3 linked regions of the Astyanax mexicanus genome follow. The protein of the gene in region 3 binds, or shares a complex with, the protein of the main gene of each other region. Links are inferred from orthologs where the notes say so. Each region holds a gene or a part of one and is shown on either strand. Other genes may lie near its edges.

Region 1 (7,196 bases), on a different chromosome or scaffold from region 3:
TAAAAGATCATAAATCTTTATTATTGCTGCTGCATTTCTAAAAAAGATATATACATGACAGTTTCCATTATCTAGTTAATAGGTTTTTACGTATATACATATCTATTAGGGGTGTGTCATATCGTAAGGAATAATATCACCAACATTTTTGAATATCGTGAACGATATTATACCCTGAAATATCATACCATATCACGCATCCCTAATTATCACATCAGGGTTCTACTTTTTTTTTTTTTTACTGTTTTTATCAAAAGAAAAATTCACACTGTTCTTATTTCCCATTATATATCTACTAGAGACAGATTATATCTGTGCAGTATCATTTATTTTACTTTAATCCTGGATATATGGAGATATTTGGAGTGTATTATTATTAGAATCATGACATTCTGTCAAGCCTTATTGACTTCTGTTACAAATCTGATAAAAATCTTGTATTTGTTAATATCTCGGTTAGGGGTGTGCCATATCATATCGTATACAATAATAAAATTTAATTTTCATTTTGTTGCAGTAGTGTATTCTTGAAATAATTTTTTATTTAGTATTTTGACATATCGCCAAGAGTATAGTCATTACAAAAAAACATAAAATATTGTCATATTATTTATTATTTTAGGGCCATATCGCCCACCTCTAATATGGGATTGCAGGGCTTTTTGACTACTATTTGGTTAATATATTTCTGGCAAAATCACAAAAGTTTTACATGGAAAATGCAGATATGTAGGTTTCTAACATATCTAAAGCCTATAACTTAAAAAAGCTAGCTAGCTAACTAGTCAATGACATTTGTTTACCTTAAATAAAATAAATAAAATAAAAAGTATATTTCAGGAGTTATAAAATATGCTTTATGCTAACTTTACGATTTATTAAAGCGAAATATCTTCAGTTATCTAGCTTTCTTTCCTAGAAAAGCCATAGTTAAGTGCTGTGAAAACTGCGGTATAAAATTAGCAAACTTAGCTGACAGTTTGACCTCAGAACTGAATTCCCGCGCTTTTATATGAACAGCGCGTGACCCCGGCGCGTGACTCTGGGCTCGTGACCCACTGCGCAGATCCGCTGATCTGTAGCTCATATTATGCACCACGTCTTGGCGATTATGATTTATAGATCATTAGATCTGCCGTCTGGATTTAAAATTAGGGATTTTTTATGATTTTTTTTTATGTAAAAGGCACAATAATATCTGACTGTAAATAAAATGTATGTAAATACAAAAATAAATATAAAAATGTAAAAAAAAAAAAAAGATAACTAAAATGCTCATATGGCCTCCATCATTTCTATAAACTAATAAACATTTCAACACTTTCTTAAAATAAACTAATTTTATCAAATGTTTCAGGTAAAAGACAAAAATGTAGAGATTAAATAATTTTCTAGAGTTTAGATGTTTTTAATTGTTCTATAAGAAGGAAAACCAATACTACTTTTAAATCTTTACTAATAAGTTGTGCAATGGATTCTACTAGTTTTTATATGCAGATCCAAATGTGCAGTATACTGTATATACAGTTTGGTTATTTTAATATAAAGTTAATTATACGTTTTAAAATGTAAAAAAAAAACAGGTTGAACATGATGTATAGATCATTAAATCTGACATCTGGGTTTAAAATGAGGGATTTTTATGATTCTTTGTTAATGTGAAGAGCACAATAATATCTGACTGCTAATAATATTTATGTAATTAAAAAAATAAATATCAAAGATTCGAAAAATGTGGCCTCCATTATTTCTACAACCTACTAAAATTTCGACATCTTCCTAAAATAAACTAATTGTTTTTACCCAAAAATGTACCAAATATTATGGCATAAAAGTATTTTTCTAGAGGTTAGATGTTTTAAATTGTTCTATAGAAAGAAAACCAATACTACTTTTAACTTTTCATCAAACAACATGTATTCTATTGCTTTTTATACAGATCCAAATGTGGCGTATACTGTGAATAGAGTATTGTGATTTTAAAATAAAGTTAATTTTTATATAAACAAGTTTTAAAATGGTAAAAAAAATTTTTTGAGTATACTTCATTTTGTTCTGTGTAATTTCTCATTTCTGGTGTCATTTAATTAATTGTATCCCTGTCATCCATATTTATTCAGTGGGCGTTACTGTTTAGTTTACAATGCAGCTCCAGACTTCACAAATAACTAATTAATATTCTAGAATAAAATTACCTCCAAAGGCTGTGGTATTGAATATAGGACTGGTAACTCTGATAAACTTATTCTGTGCAACAGAGGGAACTCTTGCTCTTGATAAGTGCCAGTTTCATCATAAGGTTTCTGGTGGTCTTTGCGACTGCACTTTGTACTTTCAGTTCTTGACATTTTTCAGACTGCCTGACCCTCATATGTTTTTCTTCATAGTTTGGATGACTTTAGTATTAATCTACAATGCAGAACATTTTAAAATGATGTGAAAACACTGAATTTACAGTGTGTATGAATTCTGTGTGTATTTTGATTCTGCATATTTCTCCTTTCTGGTATAATGATTAATGATTATATTCTATGTTGTTATACGTTACATAACTTTTTGAAAAAAAAATGTAATACTTAGTAACTTATTAATATTTCAGGATAAAAATTACCTTCAAAGGCTGTGGTCTCGAATATAGGGCTGGTAACTTTGATGAACCTATTCTGTGCAACAAAGGAAATTCTTGCTCTCTTGTTTTCTTGGGGCAGTCCTGATGAGAGCCAGTTTCATCATCATAATGTTTTTGATGGTCTTTGTGGTGACTGAAATGGAGGATACCTTCAGTTCTTTAACATGTTTTTGTTCATAGTTTGGATGAGTTTAGTATTAATCTATCTACAGTACAGAACATTTCAAAATGATGAAAAATGATGAAAAAACACTGAATTTAAGGTGTGTGTGCCAACTTTTGACTGATTTAGTATCCTGTATGTCCTTTTTTTCTGCATATTTTCTGTATTTTGTTTTCTGATATCAATTAATAATTATATTTTAAGTTCTCAAAGTCAAAGTCAAAGTCAAAGTGGTTTTTATTGTCATTTCAGCTATATAAAGAGTACACAGTGAAACGAAACAACGTTCCTCCAGGGACCATGGTGCACATAAACACAGTGTAGACAGAACAATAGTGCAACAGTACAAAAGTGCAGACAGACAATACAACACCATACAGACAAAGAATAATAAATAACAAGACAGTGTGCAAATTATGCAGTGTGCAAAAAAGACCAGGTGAGGTAGTAATTACCTCTATTACACAGTGTGCAATAGAGTCCAGTGAGGTAGTAGGGTTTTTAGTGCTTTCCATTTTCTGGGGTAAGTGGGGTAAGAGTGTGTGTGTGCATGTACAGAAAAACCATCAGTTCAGTCTTTGCAGTTAAGGAGTCTGATGGCTTGGGGGTAGAAGCTGTTGCAGAATCTGGTCGTGCTGGACCGGATGCTGCGGTACCTTCTTCCCGAAGGCAGGAGGGAGAACAGTTCGTGTGAGGGATGGGTGGGGTCATTCACAATGCTGGTTGCTTTGCGGATGCTGCGGGTGGTGTAAATGTCCGTGATGGAGGGGAGAGAGACGCCGATGATCCTCTCAGCTGTCCTCACAATACGCTGGAGGGTCTTGCGGTCAGAGACGGTGCAGGTCCCAAACCAGGCAGTGATGCAGCTGCTCAGGATGCTCTCAATGGTCCCTCTATAGAAGAGTGTGAGGATGGGTGGAGGGAGACGGGCCTTTCTCAGCTTCCGGAGGAAGTAGAGACGCTGCTGGGCTTTCTTGGCTGTAGAGCTGGTGTTCAGGGTCCAGGTGAGGTTATCTGCTAAGTGGACACCAAGGAACTTGGTGCTCTTAACAATCTCCACAGAGGACCCGTCGATGTTGAGTGGAGAGTGGGTGTGTTGTGCTCTCCTGAAGTCAACAACCATTTCCTTTGTCTTGTCCACATTCAGGTGAAGGTTGTTGACTGTAAACCAGTCTGTCAGTTATACGTTACATAACTTTTTGAACGAAATAATAAAATGAATATATAATAACTTATTATTATTCCAGAATAAAAAAATACTTTCAAACATTGCCAATATTTGTAAGCACCGCCTCCTTTTCAACCCCACGCCCACAACCCCGCCCACGGGCGGAGCCAAATGCGTCACTCCTCGGCTTACAACCTACAAAGCAGTGAGTAATTACTCCAGGCCCCGCCCCTTTCTGATGCCGCGCTGTAGCAGCGCTGCCTCGCGCTCCCCGCTCTAGTTTAGAGGCCATCTTTACAGCCCGTGGGCCTGCAGCGGAGAACCGGAGACCCGCGGAGCGTCCACGCAGCTCAGCCGCCGCAGGGTGAGCTCAGAGCGGCCACAGCGGCTGGATCGCCCCGCTGAAGGAGCCGGAGCTGGAGGAGGAGCTGGAGCTGCTGCATGGCTGCGCTGCGCTGTGAGTGACTGAGGATGGCCACTGCAGCTGCGGTGAGTTAGTTAGAGAGCCAGGCAGCCTGGCACACTGATAATCGATCGTTTTCCGATAGATGATCAATCGATTTGATTAATTTTAATCCCCGGATCACCTTCACGGTGTCATTTTACACAGAGAAAGAGAGGCTGCAGCAGAACAACACAGGCTCTCACCCTGCTTTACTGCTGGATTTCTCAACAATCCGGATCATTAGCTGGAATAATTCGCTTTAAATCCACATTTTTAAACATTTTACATCCTTATTAACATACCACACAAGCTCCAAACCCTTTAAAACAGCCTGTTTTTATGTGATCAGCTGTAGAAAACGCTCAGGAAGAGGTCAAGCTCCAGCCAAAGTTTATTTACTCTAGCTCTAAGCTAGGCTATAACTGGCTAATGCTGTGGTGCAACACTGTTATCTAGAGGTTAAACCCTTTTAAAACCTTTTTAAACCCTTTAAAATGCTTTATTTTACTGCGTAGAACTAATTGTAAGTGTTTACTAAGGCTGTAAATGTTTATTATCTGGTTTCCAGGTTTTGATCCATGATAATACCATGCTATTTTGAAGTTGGATGCTATCCATGCTGTGGAATATGGAGCTCAACTGTTACATAGTTTTATCTTTTAGGTTTGACGTTTAAAAAAATAGTATACCAGTAATCAATTATGTATTGTTTGCATACACTGTAGTAGTACTACAGTAATCACACCCTGAATAAGGGCTGCAACTCATGATTAATTTGTTAGACAGCTAATCTGATGATTGTGTTGTTTGTTATTTTGAAGTTGGATGTCATCCCTGCTGTGGAATATGGAGCTCAACTGTTATTTCTTGTTCTCGTTTTATCTCTAGAAACAGCTGAAATGGGATTTAAATTCCCTTAAATTGTCCAAAACGTTGCTCTTTAAATGTGGAAAGTGCTGCTATTTATTGAGGAAATGTGTATTCTGTTGAATTTGGGCCCTTTTGGAGACGTAGACAGAGTTGAGTGTAAACTGTTTGATTTACCCAGTACTGTTTTACTGAATAGAACTACTTTTAAGTGTCTACTATGGCTACAAATGTTTATTAACTGGTTTCCATGCTGTCATCCATGATAATGCCATGCTATTTTGAAGTTGGGTGCCATCCATGCTGTGGAATATGGAGCTCAATTGTTACTTCTTACATAGTTTTATCTCTTAGGTTTGACATTTAAATTTTAGAGTACGGTAACCAATAATGTATATTTGAATACACTGTAGTAGTACTACAGTAATCACACACTGCTGAATACGTGGCTGCAATTAGGGCTGCAACTAATGATAATTTTGGTAGTTGACTGATTTGACTATTATTTTCCTGATTAGTCGATTTGTAGATTATTTCTGCTTCCTCTGGGAATGGCTTCGGTTTATAGCTTCCTCTGTCTTCGCTTCAAATCGCTAGAAACAGCTGAACAAGGGATTTAAATACACTTTAAATGTGGAAAGTGCTGCTATTTATTGAGGAAATGTGTATTCTGTTGAATTTGGGCCCTTTTGGAGACATGTTGAGTGTAAACTGTTTGAGTGTCCCCAGTACTGTTTTGCTAAATAGAACTACTTTTAAGTGTCCGCTAAGGTTACAGATGTTTATTAACTGGTTTCCATGCTTCGATCCATGATAATACCATGTTATTCTGAATTATTTTGAAGTTGGATGCCATCCATCTTGTGGAATATGGAGCTCAACTGTTATATCTTTTTATTAGGTTTGATATTTTAATTTTAGTATACGTATTGTACAGTAATCAATATTGTATATTCGCATGCACTGTAGTAGTACTACAGTAATCACACACTGAATTAGGGCTGCAACTAATGATCAATTTGGTAGATGGCTGCAACTATTGAATATTTTGTTCGTCTACTTATCTGGCGATTATTTTTTCCGATTAGTTAACGATTATTTCTGCTTGCTCTGGGTATGGTTCCTGTTTCTAGCTTTCTCTGTCTTCGCTTCAAATCGATAGAAACAGCTGAACAAGGGATTCAAATGCCTTTCAAATGTCCAGAACGTTGCCCTTTAAATGTTTAAAAATGCTGCTATTTATCGAGGAAATGTGTTGAGGTAACCTGTTGAATTTGGGCACATTTTGAGACACACAAAAAAAAGAAGGAATAAAGTGTTGTTTGATTAATAATTTAAACAATACTCAATTATTGATGTGTTCTTCAGCATGCTAACGCTAGGTGACAAAGATCACCACCTCTAAGCTATTTACGTGCCGTTAAAATTACTGCAATCAGTTAAATCAAACAGATAAGATGTAAACTAGGCCCAAAGCAATAGTTACATCAGTGAGTTATCATAAAATAAACATGCAAACATAATCTCAGTAAAAATCCACAACAACACTGTTTAATACCGTAATATGAGATTGCTGTGTTTAATACTAATAATCCTTGCTTAAAAAGCCTGTGGGTGGATATATTTATGGATGTATACATGTATTGATGAGTACATTCATGTCTGGATAGAAATATTAGTAAATATATTGACCAATATACAGTATAGGTGGATGTACTGTTGGGTAAATCAATGTATTTATGGATGGAATTGTGTAGAAAAGTATACTGATGGTTGGTTGGATATATCAATGGATACATGGATGGAAGGATGGATATATTGAAATACAGATGCATGGACAAATAAAAATGGCTATATACTGTAGGTATCAAAATATATGTTTTGATTAAGACTGTATTTAGGTGTATGTACTGATGGCAGAATC
Region 2 (7,417 bases), on a different chromosome or scaffold from region 3:
TACAAGAAGCAAAACTATATTTATACATATTATTATTTGGCATTGCACAAGGCATTGCACATGCGCAAGTTGGGATGATAATTCTGAAACAATATGTTGTGAACAATAAAAGAGAAAAATAATATAAACTAGAGCTGGGCTTTTACTAATTTTGGAATATTAAAAATATATTAAATACTGTTTTTCTTAGGAATCTGCTGTTACATTTGGCCAGAATGTCAAAATATTGACAGTTTTTTTGTGTATCATGACAATGTCTTAAAATATTGTGATACAATATGTTTTACAATATCGCTCAGCTTTAATTTAAAACCCAGGGAGAAAAATATATGTATTTTCTTATTATTATTTGAGATTATATGCTGACTTAAGTTTTATTGTTTTTTTCTAGATAAAAATAGTTTTTTTTCTTAGACACAGCGAACTATACACAAAACTATAAGATATTACACTTATTTATGTGAACTTAATATAGACACTAAATGTAAGATCACATCATTTTTCACCAGAAATTCAGTTGTGATGTATTATTTAGATTAGTGACTAACAGAAGGTTGATTTTATTCAGGAGCTGAGTTTCAGAAACAGGAGAAATCTGCAAAAATTTACTAAATTTCGCTCAAATTCAACAAAAAACTAAACCATGCCTAAACAGAACTACTGTACATGTGGGCAGATCTACTTTTCTGTGCGGAGGAAAGACCCCCCCACCTCCAGACCTCCTCCCACCTTCTCCTTCCCCTTCCTCTGGAATTCCACATTTCCACACGCTAATAAACAACATAAACAATGTAAATAACGTGTTTAATCTAATAACATTAAAATAATAAAGAGAGAAATAGCAGAAATAAGCAGGTCTACCGTCATTATTAAAAGTTTAAAACAGTCCAGTCTGCACTTTAATCTACATCCGCCCGCAGGCAGTCTGAAAAAGCGGGACCCGGTCAGATCCAGCGCCGTAATAATAAACAGCACAGCTCTAACTCATCCCTCCGCGCTCTTAAACACCATATAACCCGCTAACGCTGCGCTATAAAGTCTGATTTAGTGAAGTTAATGTGTTTATATAAAGGTATTTACCTGTACAGGTTGGATTCAGGTGTTTAAGCGCTGTATTTTCTCTGTTCTCGGGGTTTATAAGTTAGCAGCAGCAGCAGCAGCTCAGCCAGAGGTTTGGAAACTCGAACCACGTGACCGGCCGATCCCTGCCTCTGACGTCACGGACTGAAACTCTGTACCTGAAGCGGGAAGTGAAGAAGCTCCGCCCCAAAACTGATGATTAAACTCCGCATGTCTTACCTGTTACCTGTGTTATCCGTGTATGTCTACCTTCACACAGCAGGTAAAATTGGCCAAATTCTACGTTTATTTTAGGCTGTTTGTGTGCATGACAGAGCAATGCTTCACGTTAAGATTCACTTTAATCCAGAATAACATAAATCACAATCACACAAGCTATGAATAAGTTCAGCTGCAAAAAAGTGGCCTTTTTGTCGCTTCACCTATAAAAGTCGTAAAAATTCCGATCTGCCCGTTCACACTGAGTTGCAATGGAGCAAATCGGACATGTATTGGATTTCAATACCACATATGAAGTGGCCCAGATCAGAATTGTATCACATACGATATAAATATGATGTTAAGGTCAGATTTGGGCCACATTTACCTGCTGTGTGAACAAAGCCCTATTATTTGTGGTAGTCAAGTCAAGTCAAGTCGAGAGGCTTTTATTGTCATTATATCTGAGTACACAGTGTTGTGAAATTACATTCCTCCGGAACCACGGTGCAACACGGGACAACAAACAATAGACAACATAGTGTCTGTATTACAGCTAGATGTAGATGTTTGATAAAGAATTTACTTGTTTATGTAATAACTTGTTTCTATTATTTGTTGCATGCTACTTATTTTGTGCATGGGCACCGCTTAAAAGCTCTTTAGCTTCTTAGGGTGTCCCTTTTCACATAATTTAATTGTTAAAAATTGCTTTGACACTTGTTGCTTAAACAGATGTGTGATTAAAAGCATGATAGATACTTGTTACTTGGCCTGATCAGCTTATTATAGAGTTATATTAGATGAAGCTGTGATGTTGAGAGTAATAGAGGGGTTTCTCTGCGTGTTTATAATCAGTATTTACAGTATGTAGGTCACTGGCCCTGATTATGGCTTTCTTAATCTGTTATGGCTGGACATCATTTTTCCAGCAGCCCTGGATCTCTCATATTTCTGTAAAGTGGACCAGCTCTGATCCCACTCTCAGCTCTTTAAACAGAAAACTCTATAATAATCTTTTTATCAGGATGGGTGTGTCTGTGCTGAGAAAATTACTGCAGCTAATAAAGATGTAGGATAGGGACTACATTGCTTTGCTTAACACACAAACACACACACTGGTTTTGTTTTTTTTGTGAGGACTTTTCCACTCACATCTTCACTCTTTTTTTTTTTTAAACAATATTTGTATATTTATGTATATATATGTTATATATATATATGCTAATGCTAGAAATGACCTGCACTGGAGCTCAGTGTTGTTGCAGTTTATCACCTGGCCTGCAGAGGGCAGCAGTTTAGTCCTTTTAGACTTGTCATGTCATTCTTACTCATTATTTAGAGTTATTAAGTCACTATTTGGAGACATTAGCTCGTTATTTCTGTATAATATCAAATATGTTCGAGATAATATGTTTTTGTTTCAGATATTGACATGTTTTGAGAAATTACCATTTTGAGATGCAGTATTTTTAGGCATTATTTTGAGTTTAAAACCTAAATCTATTAATTCTGAGATATCATATCGTAGTTTTGAGATATTGTCATTATTAAGAGATAACAAAATAATAAATACAGCACGTATTTATTTCCTGCCTGCTGTTATACAAAATCTATAAATTATATTAGTTGAAATTTGTGCACACATTTGCCTATTTCTGTGAAAATTATAGCATAGTCGTGCATTATTAGTATAGAACATTCTATTTAATTCAAAAGCCAATATAGTTTAAATTTGATTAGCTTTTTACGAAAAATCCTGGAAAGTTTAAAGATAGATAGAAATATGAACATAAAATCATAAAAAAATGTATTATTATATATTATGATATAGTATAGATTGTGGGGAAATGTACTCATCTGTAGAACATGATCAAATACAAAATCTAAAGGATCTTTTACAACAATGTTTTGTTTCCACTGCTCTTTTAGTTTATTAGATTATTAAACGTAAAATCCTGTAATCTTACTGTACCACTTCAGTCCACAAGCTTCTCTCACATCCAGGGATGCATTTCTTTGCATTTCTGCTTGTCTAGAAATGCATGTGTACAGCATGTCCTTAAGGGGTGGCTCTAAGCATGAGTTACAGTTTCAATTTAGTTTATTATGATTTTTGGTGTTTTACTGGGAAGGCCTCTCAGAAATGGAACACAGATTCTATATTCAGAATATTTGGCACCAATAATAAAATCCTTTTCCAAATATACATGGAAAATACTGAATAAATGATTGACGGCACATTTACAGTATATAGTGCTGGCTGCCCATATCAGTGCTGATTACAAAACACCTCTATCACTACTGACCTCCATTGTTTATCACAGAATAATAAAAGATTCAGCAGGGAGTGGAGATTTATAAGGTTATAAGGCCCTATGTCTCTGCAAACCATCACAGATTGGTGGAAACTCGAGCAGTTTGGACTGTGTGTCTCTCCACTCTTCCTCCAGACTCTGCTCCCTTAACTTCCTTTAAATAAAATGTAGAATTTACTGATGATCAGTGATGGTTTGGAGAGACATGTCTGTCATCTGCTGGTGTTGATCCACTGTGTTTTATTATCAAGTCTAAAGTCAGTGCAGTTTTGTTTTCCCACAAAATCTTACAGCTCTTCATATCTTACAGCTTCCCTCTGCTAAAAACAACTTTTATGGAGATGAGGATTTCATTTTCCAGCAGGACTTGGCACACTGCCCACACTGCCAAAAGTACCAATTGGTCTTATATAATATTCTAATTTTCTGAGACACTGATTTTATGGGTTTTCATTGGCTTTAAGCTTCATAATCATCAACAATAAAAGAATAGATCACTCTGTGTGTAATACATCTATATAATAAGCTTCACATTTTCAACTGAATTACTGAAATTTATTAATTTGTTTATATTAGTGTAGTATGTGTATGTATGAGTGAGTATATATGTGTTTATTTTAGTTTAGTGTCTGTGTGTTTATAAGTGTGTAAATATATATATATATATATATATATATATATATATATATATATATATATATATATATATATATATATATATATATATATATATATTGTGTGTGTGTGTCTGTGTGTGTGTGTTTATATTAGTTTAGTATTTATGTGTTTATGGGGACGCTGTAGCTTTAAGGGAGTTGCTAACCTGCTAGCGGGAGCACACCGGCGCTCTTACAGCAGCAGAACTGGAGCAGCTGCGGGATTTCTGAGGAATAAACCCGCTGTTAGCCGCTGTCCGCCCCTTCAGAACCGAACCGAGTGGACCTGGCACCGCTCTGAGGACCGGGGACTGAACTATGAGGCATTTTACGGTAGATATCCCGCGGAACCGGGGCGGAGATCTGACCGGGGCTGTTTGGGTGAACGGTTAGCCGGTTAGCCGCTAACAGCTAACCCGGGTTATTTAATGCTGAGTGTAGCTCAGTTAGCCGCGCTAAGCTAACCTACTGCTAACTGTCCTGCTTCAGCTAGCGACAGATTTATCTCCAAACAGCTAACCCAGACAAATAACACTATTTAATAACATTACTTATATTTAAGTATTTATTCAGGATCAGACAGTACATATTAATACATATTACTACATATGTGTGTATGTGAGTGTGTATATATTAACCTATACAAGCTGTATCTGTGTGTTTATATTAGTTTAGTATCTGTGTTTACGAAAGTGTGTATATACGTGTGTATGTTCAGTACATTAGTTTAGTAGCAGTGTTTACAAGAGTGTATATAAGTTACAGCTCTGTAAAAATAAAGAGACCCCTTCAGTTTCTGAATCAGTTTCTCTGATTTTGCTATTTATAGGTTTATGTTTGAGTAAAATGAACATTGTTGTTTTATTCTATAAACTACAGACAACATTTCTCCCAAATTCCAAATAAATATATTCTCATTTAGAGCATTTATTTACAGAAAATGAGAAATGGCTGAAATAACAAAAAAAAAAAAGATGCAGAGCTTTCAGACCTCAAATAATGCAAAGAAAACAAGTTCATATTCATAAAGTTTAAAAAGGGATAATTTTATGCCACTTCTAATGGTTGTGATCATCCATCTTCCTCTTAATTATTTCCAGAGCTGTATGTGTGTTTATAGTATTTGTTTTAACATTAGACCTGTTTAGTTCATTATTTAGGGTTAATCAACGGTTTCCTCTGACTCACACTGCTGTGATTTAGCTGGAGATGTTTAGTTTAATATTTTACCTGCTGATAAACATCTTTCTGATTGTGTTGTTGTTCAGTTCGCCTCTAAAGTAAAGGGGAATCTGATGTCCAGCTGACTGACTCACTGACTGACTGACTGACTTCGTAGTTAATTAACCCCAACCTTCCTCCAGTTCTCTATTATTAGCAGAGAAGTTGTTAAAGCTCAGCCTGGAAGAGGTTCTGGCTGTAGCTCCGTGAGGAAAAGAAGATTATCTGAATTTAGAAAGCTTGCTGCACTAAATGTTTGATGAAGAAACCCAAAAAAACACAAAACATTTCCAAAATTAGCTATACTGTAGGTCCAGTGATCAGGAGTTGACAGTTCAATAGCTGGTAACAGTATAATAAATTATTAATATTAGCTATTACAGTTTTTGTTTGAATGGCAACTATGCAGTGAACTAGGTTAACTAAGATAGCTATTATATTAAGGAGAGAAAACCATCCTGTCCAGTAGGGTAAAAAAAATAACAGGTAAAAAAAACAAAATAGAGATAATAGATCTATGGAAACTAATAAAAATAAATAAAAAATGGCTTAAATCAATACATCTCCATGTAGCGTGGCCCTTTTCATGCATACAATAAATATGTCAGGAAGTATTGGGTAGAAATATGTAGACCTCGGCCCAATGCTGGTGAATTTTTTGCTGATCTCGATATAATTACGATATAATTGTGCGTCTCTAATTATGTTACAGTATTGTCAGTATGTGAGTGGCATAAAATGACATAAAGATTGACTAGAAAAGTAGGAATTGAATTGTAGGAACAGATTTTAAACCACATTAGCCATAATAGACCATCTGAAACTAGCTACCAAAGCTGCTTTTGAGCTGGATTTTTAGACTTCAGGCTATCAAGATAACTAGTTTTTTGTAAGATATACATTAAATGTTATGTTGTAGGATATGATCATGACATGTCTTAACTTCTGAATCCATGTGTTCACCTCTTTCCACAGGGGTGATAGACGCATATAGTTGCCCTATAGGATGGACAGCTATTTTAAAGCTGCTGTGTGTGACCTGGACAAGCTTTTGGACGACTTTGAGCTGAACTCAGGTGAGATGATCTCCTCTTCTTTCATTGTAGTGTAGCGTACTGTGTTGTACTTTAGTGTAGCATAGTGTACTGTAGTGTAGTGTACTGTAGTGTAGTGTAGTGGAGTGTATTGTACTGTAGTGTACTGTAGTGTAGTGTAGTGTACTGTACTGTAGTGTACTGTACTGTAGTGTACTGTAGTGTAGTGTAGTGTAGTGTAGTGTAGTGTAGTGTAGTGTAGTAACCCGTGGGAGAATGAGAACATGCAGCAGTTCTGTTGTGATTAATTACCGTGTCCACTCTGAAGACACAGTTATTGTCCTTTATTGAACCCAGAGTTTGTATGGAGACTAACGTGCTTATTGCAGAACAGCAGCGCTGAGGTATTCATAATAACTGCTGAGGTCGGAGAGCACTTAATAGCATTGTTCACAACTGGCCTTGTGTGGTCTGTTAAATGGATGGTCTGTTAAAGTACACGTGCGAGTAAGTTTTTTTTGAGATCTTTGTTAAGATGACGGTACCTACATAGAAAATATATCTGCACTGTTCTCAGTATAAACTCAATTTTGTGGTTTGGATCGTTGCCTCGCCAGAAAATCAATCGGCAGCCCAATTTTAGCTGCCTGACCGAGGGAGTCCGTTTTCATCCTATGCTGCCCCAGAACTTAACACTGTCTATATTATCATGTAATTTAAATAATTAAATAAAAGTCCTTTTATACAGCTTTGAAGTTTTTGAATCAGTTTCTCTGATTTTGCTATTTATAGGTTCATGTTTGAGTATAATTAACATAATAACCTGGTGGTTTTTAATCACAGTTTTCATGCATCTTTGCATCATGTTCTCCTCCACCAGTCTTACACACTGCTTTTGGATAACTTTATG
Region 3 (7,475 bases):
TATTTATTACCAGTTCTTTAATCCAAGCAGCACCGGGCCCCACATTTAACCTAAAATAATACTTTATCCTCAAACCTCTTTCTGAAATATAATCCAGTGTCTGAGAAGAGATCTGTGTCATATCTGAGTTTCCCCACAGCTGTGTTGACACCAGCCCAGAGCCTTATAAAACACAGGATTTAATGTTTTGAATCATTGATTCAAATTTGCACTCGATTCCTGAAGTGAATCACTCAATAAGTGCCGACTCTACACTCGACGCATTGTGTAGGTTCCTCAAAGAGTCCAAAGAGCAAACAGATCACATGATAATTCACAAAATATCAGCGGATTTTATGGTTTAAATGTCTTCCAAATTTTAAATGTTGACTATCAATGCAATTCTATAAACTTTTTTTACGTTCTTGCTTTTTTCTTTTACATAGTTTCAGTATCTGTTTAGAGATATTTACACAGGTATCTTTAAGTTAAATTTCTTATTTTCCTTTGGCTTCTACAAGCTCGTAAAGCGTTTTGACCAAGCGTACAGCGTCCTAAAGTGTCCAAACACCTTACAGATGTTTGGTTTTCTGGTTGGGAGGGGCTCTCTGCTTAGACAGCTCACAGACAAAGTTATCTATCAAGGAAATTCCAGAAACTTGTTACGTTCTTGCTTGGAATGAAGAACAAACATAGTCACATTGTTCATTTTTTATGTATTTTTACCATGGTATGGTTTCAGTATCAGTACTGAGATATTTAGGCAGGTATTGTATCAAAAGTTATAATTTTGGTATCGCGACAAAACACTACTTGGGATTCACCTAGCTGTCTTCACAGTTTAAAACTCACAATTGCCTCAATGCTGTGTTTAAACAAGCTCAGAGCCTGATATCAACTGTTATTTATCTATTGTATTAAACACTCAATAATAATCTCTCCATTAAAGTTTCTTTCACAGTAAATTTCTGACTGATTTACTGCTTTATTTCTAAGTTTTCAGTTCTGAAGTATAATCCAGTGTCTGAGGAGAGCTCTGTGTTTTCTTTGAGTTTCCGAGTGGCTGTGTTTATGTTTACACCAGATCAGAGCCTCATGAGCTACTAAACAATGTTTAGAATCATTGATTCCGGGGCGCCGAGTGGTCCAGCGGTCTAAAGCGCTGCCACTATGAGCGCTCTCTCCCCACATCACTCCTAGGGTGATGTCTGCAGCACAGGGCGTCTGTGAGCTGATGTACCGGAGCCGAGCCGCTGTGCTTTCCTCCAAGCTCGCTGGCTGCTCGGTAATGCTCCATCAGCAGCAGCTCGAAAAGAAGCGGTGGCTGACTTCACATGTATCAGAGGAAGCATGTGTTAGTCTTCACCCTCCTGGTGTGTTGAGGTATCACTAGTGATAGGGGGAGTCCTAATGAGTGGGTTGGGTAATTGGCCGTGTAAATTGGGAGAAAATGGGAAAAATTAGAAATAAAATTATAAAAAAAAAGAATCATTGATTCCCATTGTGAAAGTTCCTCATAGTGTCCAAACACCAAACAGATCCCAGCAGAATTTAAATTTTAAATGTCTCCCAGCTTTTTAATGCCTTATTTTTCACTTTCCTTACAGCTCACATACAAAGTTAACTATCAAAGAAAATCCATATATGCCAAAATTCATAGAAAGTCATAATTTTGGTATTGAGACAACACTATTTACATTTACATACAAAGTTATCAATCAATGAAATTCCAAAAACTTGATACGCTTTTTTTTGGAATTAAGAACAAACACCGTCACATTGAAAATATTTTTCGTGGTTTGCCGTAGTATAGTTTCAGTACTAGTTACTGAGATATTTAGGCAGATATCACATCAAAAGTCACAACTGTGGTATCATGTCAACAAAAGATCTAGAAAGAAAGGCTAGCGTTAATTACTATAGAGTAAACACTAATAATAATAATCTCTCCATCAGAGTTTCTTTTACATTAAGTTTCTGTGCCTGGTTTATGACTTTATTTCTCAGTTTTCTCAGTTCTCCTCAGTTCGTCTGAGGAAATCTCTGTGTCTTCTCTTGAGTTCTCCAGAGGCCGTGTTTATGTTTTTAACAGCTCATATATCCACATATCCACATATTGAGCCACATATCAAAACTTGGCCTTCTAAACAATGTTTAGAATCATTTATTCTAATTTGCACTCGATTCAAGAACCAATTCTACTCAACCCATTATGTTCTTGCTTAGAATGAAGAACAAACATCTTTTATTTGTTTTTCTGTGGTATTGCTCAATATCAGTATTGAGATATTTAGATATTTGTATTTAGGTATCATGACAATAGTATTTGGAATTCTAAATATGTTAAAAATTGAAGTGAATTTTGAGTTTAGGATGAACTCAGAGTACCTGTTGTTTATATATTAGCTAGGCTAATGTTACTTTAACTACTTTGATTCTGGGCCTGGTTAAGCTAAATAAGTAAAGCTTATATGTTATATATCACTATTAAATTAGTTAGCTTTTAGCTAAGAACGCTTTCTGAGTTCTGTTATTATCTCAAATAAACTGTATAAACAGTCACTAAAACACTGTAGCTAGTTAGCTAATAAGCTAATTAATCAGGTTAAGTTATATAGCAGGATAAGCTAGTTAGCTTTAGCATTAGCTTGAGCATTATCCAGGTATTAGCCCCAGCGGCAGCGGTGGCTCCCAGCCCCGCTCAGGCCGGAGACCCCCTCGCTTTCCCCGGCTGTAGTCCAGCCCAGGCCCGCTGCCCGGTTCTCCGGGTTAAGTACAGCGGGAGACCCGGTGACTCCCTGCCGGGGCGCGGTGCCTCTGCGTCGGCTGCTCACCTGCTTCACCGCCGCGCCGAACTCGAACTCCCCAGCTTCTTTCAGATCCAGCCAGATCATCGGCATCCGCGGCACCGCCTCCATGCCTGCCCGCTGCGGGGTTCAGTCCGGCCGGGTATTGGGGGGGAATAACGCGCGGTTTATCCGGAACTCCGCTGTTTATCTCCTATTCTAAACCACTGTGTCATGTCCATAGGAAACCACCAGTGTTTAGGACATTACGTCGGGCGTGGACTCGACGTGCATTATGGGTAATGTAGTCTTAAGGCTGCGTTCACATTGCTCAGTGTGGCCCAGATCTGATTTTTTCATGGCTGTGTGAACGTGCCAAATCTGTTCACATTGCAAGCCAAATTGCTCAAGTCCGATTTTTTGCTCAGATCGGATTTGTCTATCTTGCTGGTTCACATTCACAAAGTGATCTGTATCTTTAAGTGATCTGTATCTGTGTGTAATGTGAACGAATCTGTCCCTGAAACGCCTCACATGCTGCACATTGATACGTGAATAAACATCTCTTTCCTCACCATCAAAAAAAACGTCTCGTAGCTTTATAAAAGGAAATGGATGCGTTTGTTAGGAGCTCATATGTGGAGCATCTTTTGCTGGAGTGGAGAGTAAACAGCTGCTCTGAAGTTCATGAAAAAATGCCAGGCATTTTGCTTTTGCTGTTTTTGCAGCTATAGATGCACAGCTGCAACAAGACATGTGTGGGTGCGAGAGAGAAGCTAGTAGCACATGCGTAAAAACAAAAAGACGCATAAATTACACCGTTATGATTTGACCGTTCACATTCATGTCACATGTCCGTGAATTGGATACGTATCAGATTTAGGACCTCAGATGATAGTGACTTGAATCTGAATTGAAAAAATCAGATTTGGCACGTTTACACAGACATGAAAAAGCCGGACCTGAGCCACATTGAGCAAAAATTATATTTAAGTCACTTAAATATACAGTCTGGTAATGTGAACGTAACTTTCCATATGTGGTCCTAAATCAGATACGTATCTGATCCATGGACATGCAACATGAATGAGTGTGAACTTCTGGAAGACGCTCTCCAAGCCGTAGATATTTGATTGCCTATCAGTCACGGGCACCTAGAAAATATTCAACATGTTTAATATCTGACTCAGTCGGTAACTGGGAGTCAGGAGCTGCTGCCTCTGTTGTTAGACAACGGATTGTCCTGACAAGTCCAGACCTCAGTGTCATTGAATGTGTTTGGCATGGAACTTCAGATGTAAGAAAAAAATCTCAAAGGGGTAGATTTCAGAACCTTCCACCATCATGTTTAAGCGATGTTGGTTGTCAACATAGGGCTTTCCCACTTTCTCTCCAACTTTGAAACATTTTTTAAGTCCACTTTGGAAAATCCTATTGTTTCCCTGTAACATGTATGTACTGAAGAATTCCAGAAGATGTTGAAATGATTTATTTATTATTATTAAATCAAATTAGTTTATTTTACAGTGAAAATCTTTACTAAACTTAGAGAATGACTTCAAATGTAGACTTAACCTCATCCACTGGCAGACAAAGCAGGAGTGTTTGAATAGAATTGTTTAAGTGCTCCAGTGTCTGCACTTCTTATAGAAAAAAATGTTCAGGACAAGTTTTGGGCAATTGTTCCTATATAACTGCTTTATTTTCTTCAATATGATCTTTATAGGGTAAGATCTGGGCTCTGACTTAGACACTTAGGACAGATTTTTCTTAAGCTGTTGTGTTGTGTACTTAGGGTGGACTTCCGGTGGTTTGGGTCATTGTCTTGCTACATCACCCAATTTCTACTCTACAGAGTTTCAGTTTCACATACAGATACTCTGGTTTTACTTGTTTATAGATGTTTTTATCACATCTTAAAAAGGGGCCAAATACTTTTGCAGATTGCACTTTTTATTTTCTATTTGATAATAGAGCAAATTTATAATTTATATATTTAGTTTCAGTAAATTATAAATACAGCTGTTCTGAGAAGACCTCTGTGGTTTGTTAGAAAACACTAGCGAACAAAGAACATCAAGACGACCAAGGAACTCACCAGACAGGTCAATGATGAAGTTACAAAAACATATCCCAAGCTTTGAACATCCCAAGGAGCTCTGCTCAACCCATCATCCAAAATTAAAGTAAAGAAAAAGTAATCTACACCTTCTATTTCTACAAAACTATGAAGACATGGCCATGGTCCACCCAAACTGACAGATCTAGCAAAGAGAGCACTGGTTAGAGAAGCAGCCGAGAAGCCCATGGTCACTCTGGAGGAGCTGCAGAGATCCACAGCTCAGGTGAATCAGGAGAATCTGTCCACAGGACAACTAATAGTCATGCACTCTACAAATCTGGTCTTTATGGAAGAGTGGCAAAAAGAAAACATTGTTTAAAGAAAACTTAAGAATTGTAGTTTGCGGTTTGCAGCTACAAGTAATGTAGGAACACAGCAAACATGAGGAAGAAGGTTTTGTGGTCAGGTGAGAACAAAGCCACTGTACAATGAACACACTGATTATATTACTGTCAAAAGGTTTGCAGTAAACATAAAATTCATATGAACTATATCAGTGTGATATTCTGAACATACTGTACTGAGTAATCACACATCAGTGGTAAATAAAACAGATGTGGTCAACATACAGGGTAGTTCCTTTTTCAACTCTAACTGCTGATGGTGTGATGATGAACACAGCCCTGTGGTATTTAGGGCCTAAACTTGTTTTTTACACATATATAGCTGTACCCTGGTAACCAGCCTTTAGATCTCACACAGTCACAGAACCTTCAGTAGCTGTTGAGAAGAGGCTCGAGCTCCAGAGGAAGGATGGGAAGGCTGCACCTTCTGGTTCTTATTGTGATCAATTTCACCGGTAAGCATTACTAATCCTTCTCTTTGCCAGGCACTGGCTAGACGGGTTTAAAGCCCCGAGTTTATTTGTATGATTTGGATGTGTTTGGGAGATGGGAGAGAAGTGAGGTGGTGATTCCAAACAAAAGTATTAGATTAGACCACTCTAGCCAATTTTCTAAGGCTTTTATTCAGTTGGTTTTATCCTTTTTGTTTTTGGCGTAAAAATGACGAACATTCAACATTGTTGGTAAAACATTATGTACAAATTTTACTTAAACATTTTTGCAACTTTATTTTTTTTAAGTATAAATTGGTCATTTTTTTATAAAAATCTTAAAACCAGACATTACTTCATAATAAGGTTGCAAAAATGTTGCACTATATTTTTACGTATAACCCACTAAGCATTTTTGTAAGTTTTGCAAAAAAAAAAGTCATAAAAAAGAAGAGTTTTACTACATGCCGTCACTAAGAAAATATTTTTCTTCAGTAAGTAAAATTAAGCTGTTTTTATTGTAAGATGAAAAAGAGTAGGAATTAACATTACTCCTACAACTTAAACTACTTCTACTGACATAAAACAAATTATATAGCAGGTTGTAGTACTTTATCATATATAGTTATTCACATTCATGAAAACACAAGTAAGTTTTAATTTAATTTAACATCAACTTAATTTATAATTCTTTTAAAAAGTATGCTTGGACTGTTGGGCTGGCGGCATTAGCGAATGTATTGGTGGTTTAATACTTGCCCATTTCCTAGAAATGGCTGTGAACTGTGAACATAATTCACTGCAGCACTGTGTCTATAAAATCAACTCAAACTACACAGATGCCTCACACTCTTTAAATAAATAAAAACAATGTGCTTGTTAATAGTGGGGTTTTGAGATAAACAACAACTGGTGTGTATCCCTCCACCATGAATCGGTTTGAAAAAATGATTTACCTGCCAAAAAAACACCACCTACTAGTTTTATATTCTTTTAATCTTTTCAGTTGTGATTTTATTACTTTTTTCAGTTTGTTTTATGTTTTCCATTGAATGTTTTTCAGGTTTTCAGTCAGACAGCAGTTTCTTTGGTGTGAACTATCCTGGACCGATCTGTGCTGTGAGAGGATCGAATGTTAGGATTCCCTGCTCTTATTCCTATCCTTCTTCACATGAAGTGGAAACAGTCCGTTGGTGCTCAATGAACTCGAATGAAGGATGGTGTGCTGATCCACCGTATGTTTATGACAGCAGCTCTAACAGCGCTTCAGAAGGATTTAAGTACATTGGAAACAAACAGTCAGACTGTACTTTATTAATCAGTAATGTACAGTTCAGCCATTCTGCAGAGTATAAATTCAGATTCAGAACTAATGTGACAGGTGGCCGATGGACAGCATATGCTGGAGTGACTCTTCAAATAGGAGGTAAATATTCACTTAACATAAACCTTCTCATCATTTAAACTAAAAAAAACACCAATAGTACATCATCTCTGAGCTAAACAATCTTACAAATTTAGTGTATAAAGTAGTGTTTAAATGTGAATGTTATTGTGATGGTAAATTTCCAGTCATTTCTTTGAACTTTTATGTGTCTATAATAAGTATTGTAAAAAATATTAGAACCAGCGCTGAAAACCTTTGTATTTTTGAACATACTCTATTTAAATATATGGACATCTGTGCTATGTTTGAACAATATTGAGATGTAGAACATATGAGAGCATATCAAGTGTATTTATGACTGTATAACTATAGACTGGTAATTATTTCCACTCTGTCAAATTCATCATTTGTCAGTTAATGACTACC

The links.
Region 1: the proteins of ptpn23a (region 3) and zfyve9a are in contact, whole or in part, in a crystal structure (PDB 5MJY), measured with the Homo sapiens proteins. The link is inferred for Astyanax mexicanus from reciprocal best matches to the Homo sapiens genes PTPN23 and ZFYVE9. Residues at the interface, in NP_056281.1 of Homo sapiens: Phe62, His125, Glu137, Lys141, Val142, Cys144, Thr145, His146, Gln148, Cys149, Leu189, Lys192, Ser193, Asp196, Arg198, Lys199, Leu202, Arg205, Ile206, Ala336, Leu338, Leu342, Asp348, Ala350, Val351; in NP_004790.2 of Homo sapiens: Glu2, Tyr4, Phe5, Gln6, Glu8, Ala9, Leu12, Asp13, Val15, Leu16, Asp17, Phe19, Glu20.
Region 2: the proteins of ptpn23a (region 3) and zfyve16 are in contact, whole or in part, in a crystal structure (PDB 5MK0), measured with the Homo sapiens proteins. The link is inferred for Astyanax mexicanus from reciprocal best matches to the Homo sapiens genes PTPN23 and ZFYVE16. Residues at the interface, in NP_056281.1 of Homo sapiens: Phe62, His125, Glu137, Glu138, Lys141, Val142, Cys144, Thr145, His146, Gln148, Cys149, Leu189, Lys192, Ser193, Asp196, Arg198, Lys199, Phe201, Leu202, Arg205, Ile206, Ala336, Leu338, Leu342, Asp348, Ala350, Val351; in NP_001098721.2 of Homo sapiens: Asp2, Tyr4, Phe5, Ala8, Val9, Leu12, Asp13, Leu15, Leu16, Asp17, Phe19, Glu20, Gln21.

The regions. Positions count from the first base shown.
Region 1 is NC_064411.1:57,255,131-57,262,326, reverse strand, and holds the start of zfyve9a (zinc finger FYVE domain-containing protein 9), read left to right. Parts: upstream 1-4,190; 5' UTR 4,191-4,449; intron 4,450-4,475; exon of another isoform or gene 4,476-7,196. UniProt on the Homo sapiens protein: Early endosomal protein that functions to recruit SMAD2/SMAD3 to intracellular membranes and to the TGF-beta receptor.
Region 2 is NC_064427.1:615,801-623,217, forward strand, and holds the start of zfyve16 (zinc finger FYVE domain-containing protein 16), read left to right. Parts: upstream 1-4,403; 5' UTR 4,404-4,585; intron 4,586-6,448; 5' UTR 6,449-6,479; coding exon 6,480-6,549; intron 6,550-7,417.
Region 3 is NC_064408.1:124,231,775-124,239,249, forward strand, and holds the start of ptpn23a (tyrosine-protein phosphatase non-receptor type 23), read right to left. Parts: upstream 3,037-7,475; 5' UTR 2,898-3,036; coding exon 2,814-2,897; intron 1-2,813. UniProt on the Homo sapiens protein: Plays a role in sorting of endocytic ubiquitinated cargos into multivesicular bodies (MVBs) via its interaction with the ESCRT-I complex (endosomal sorting complex required for transport I), and possibly also other ESCRT complexes.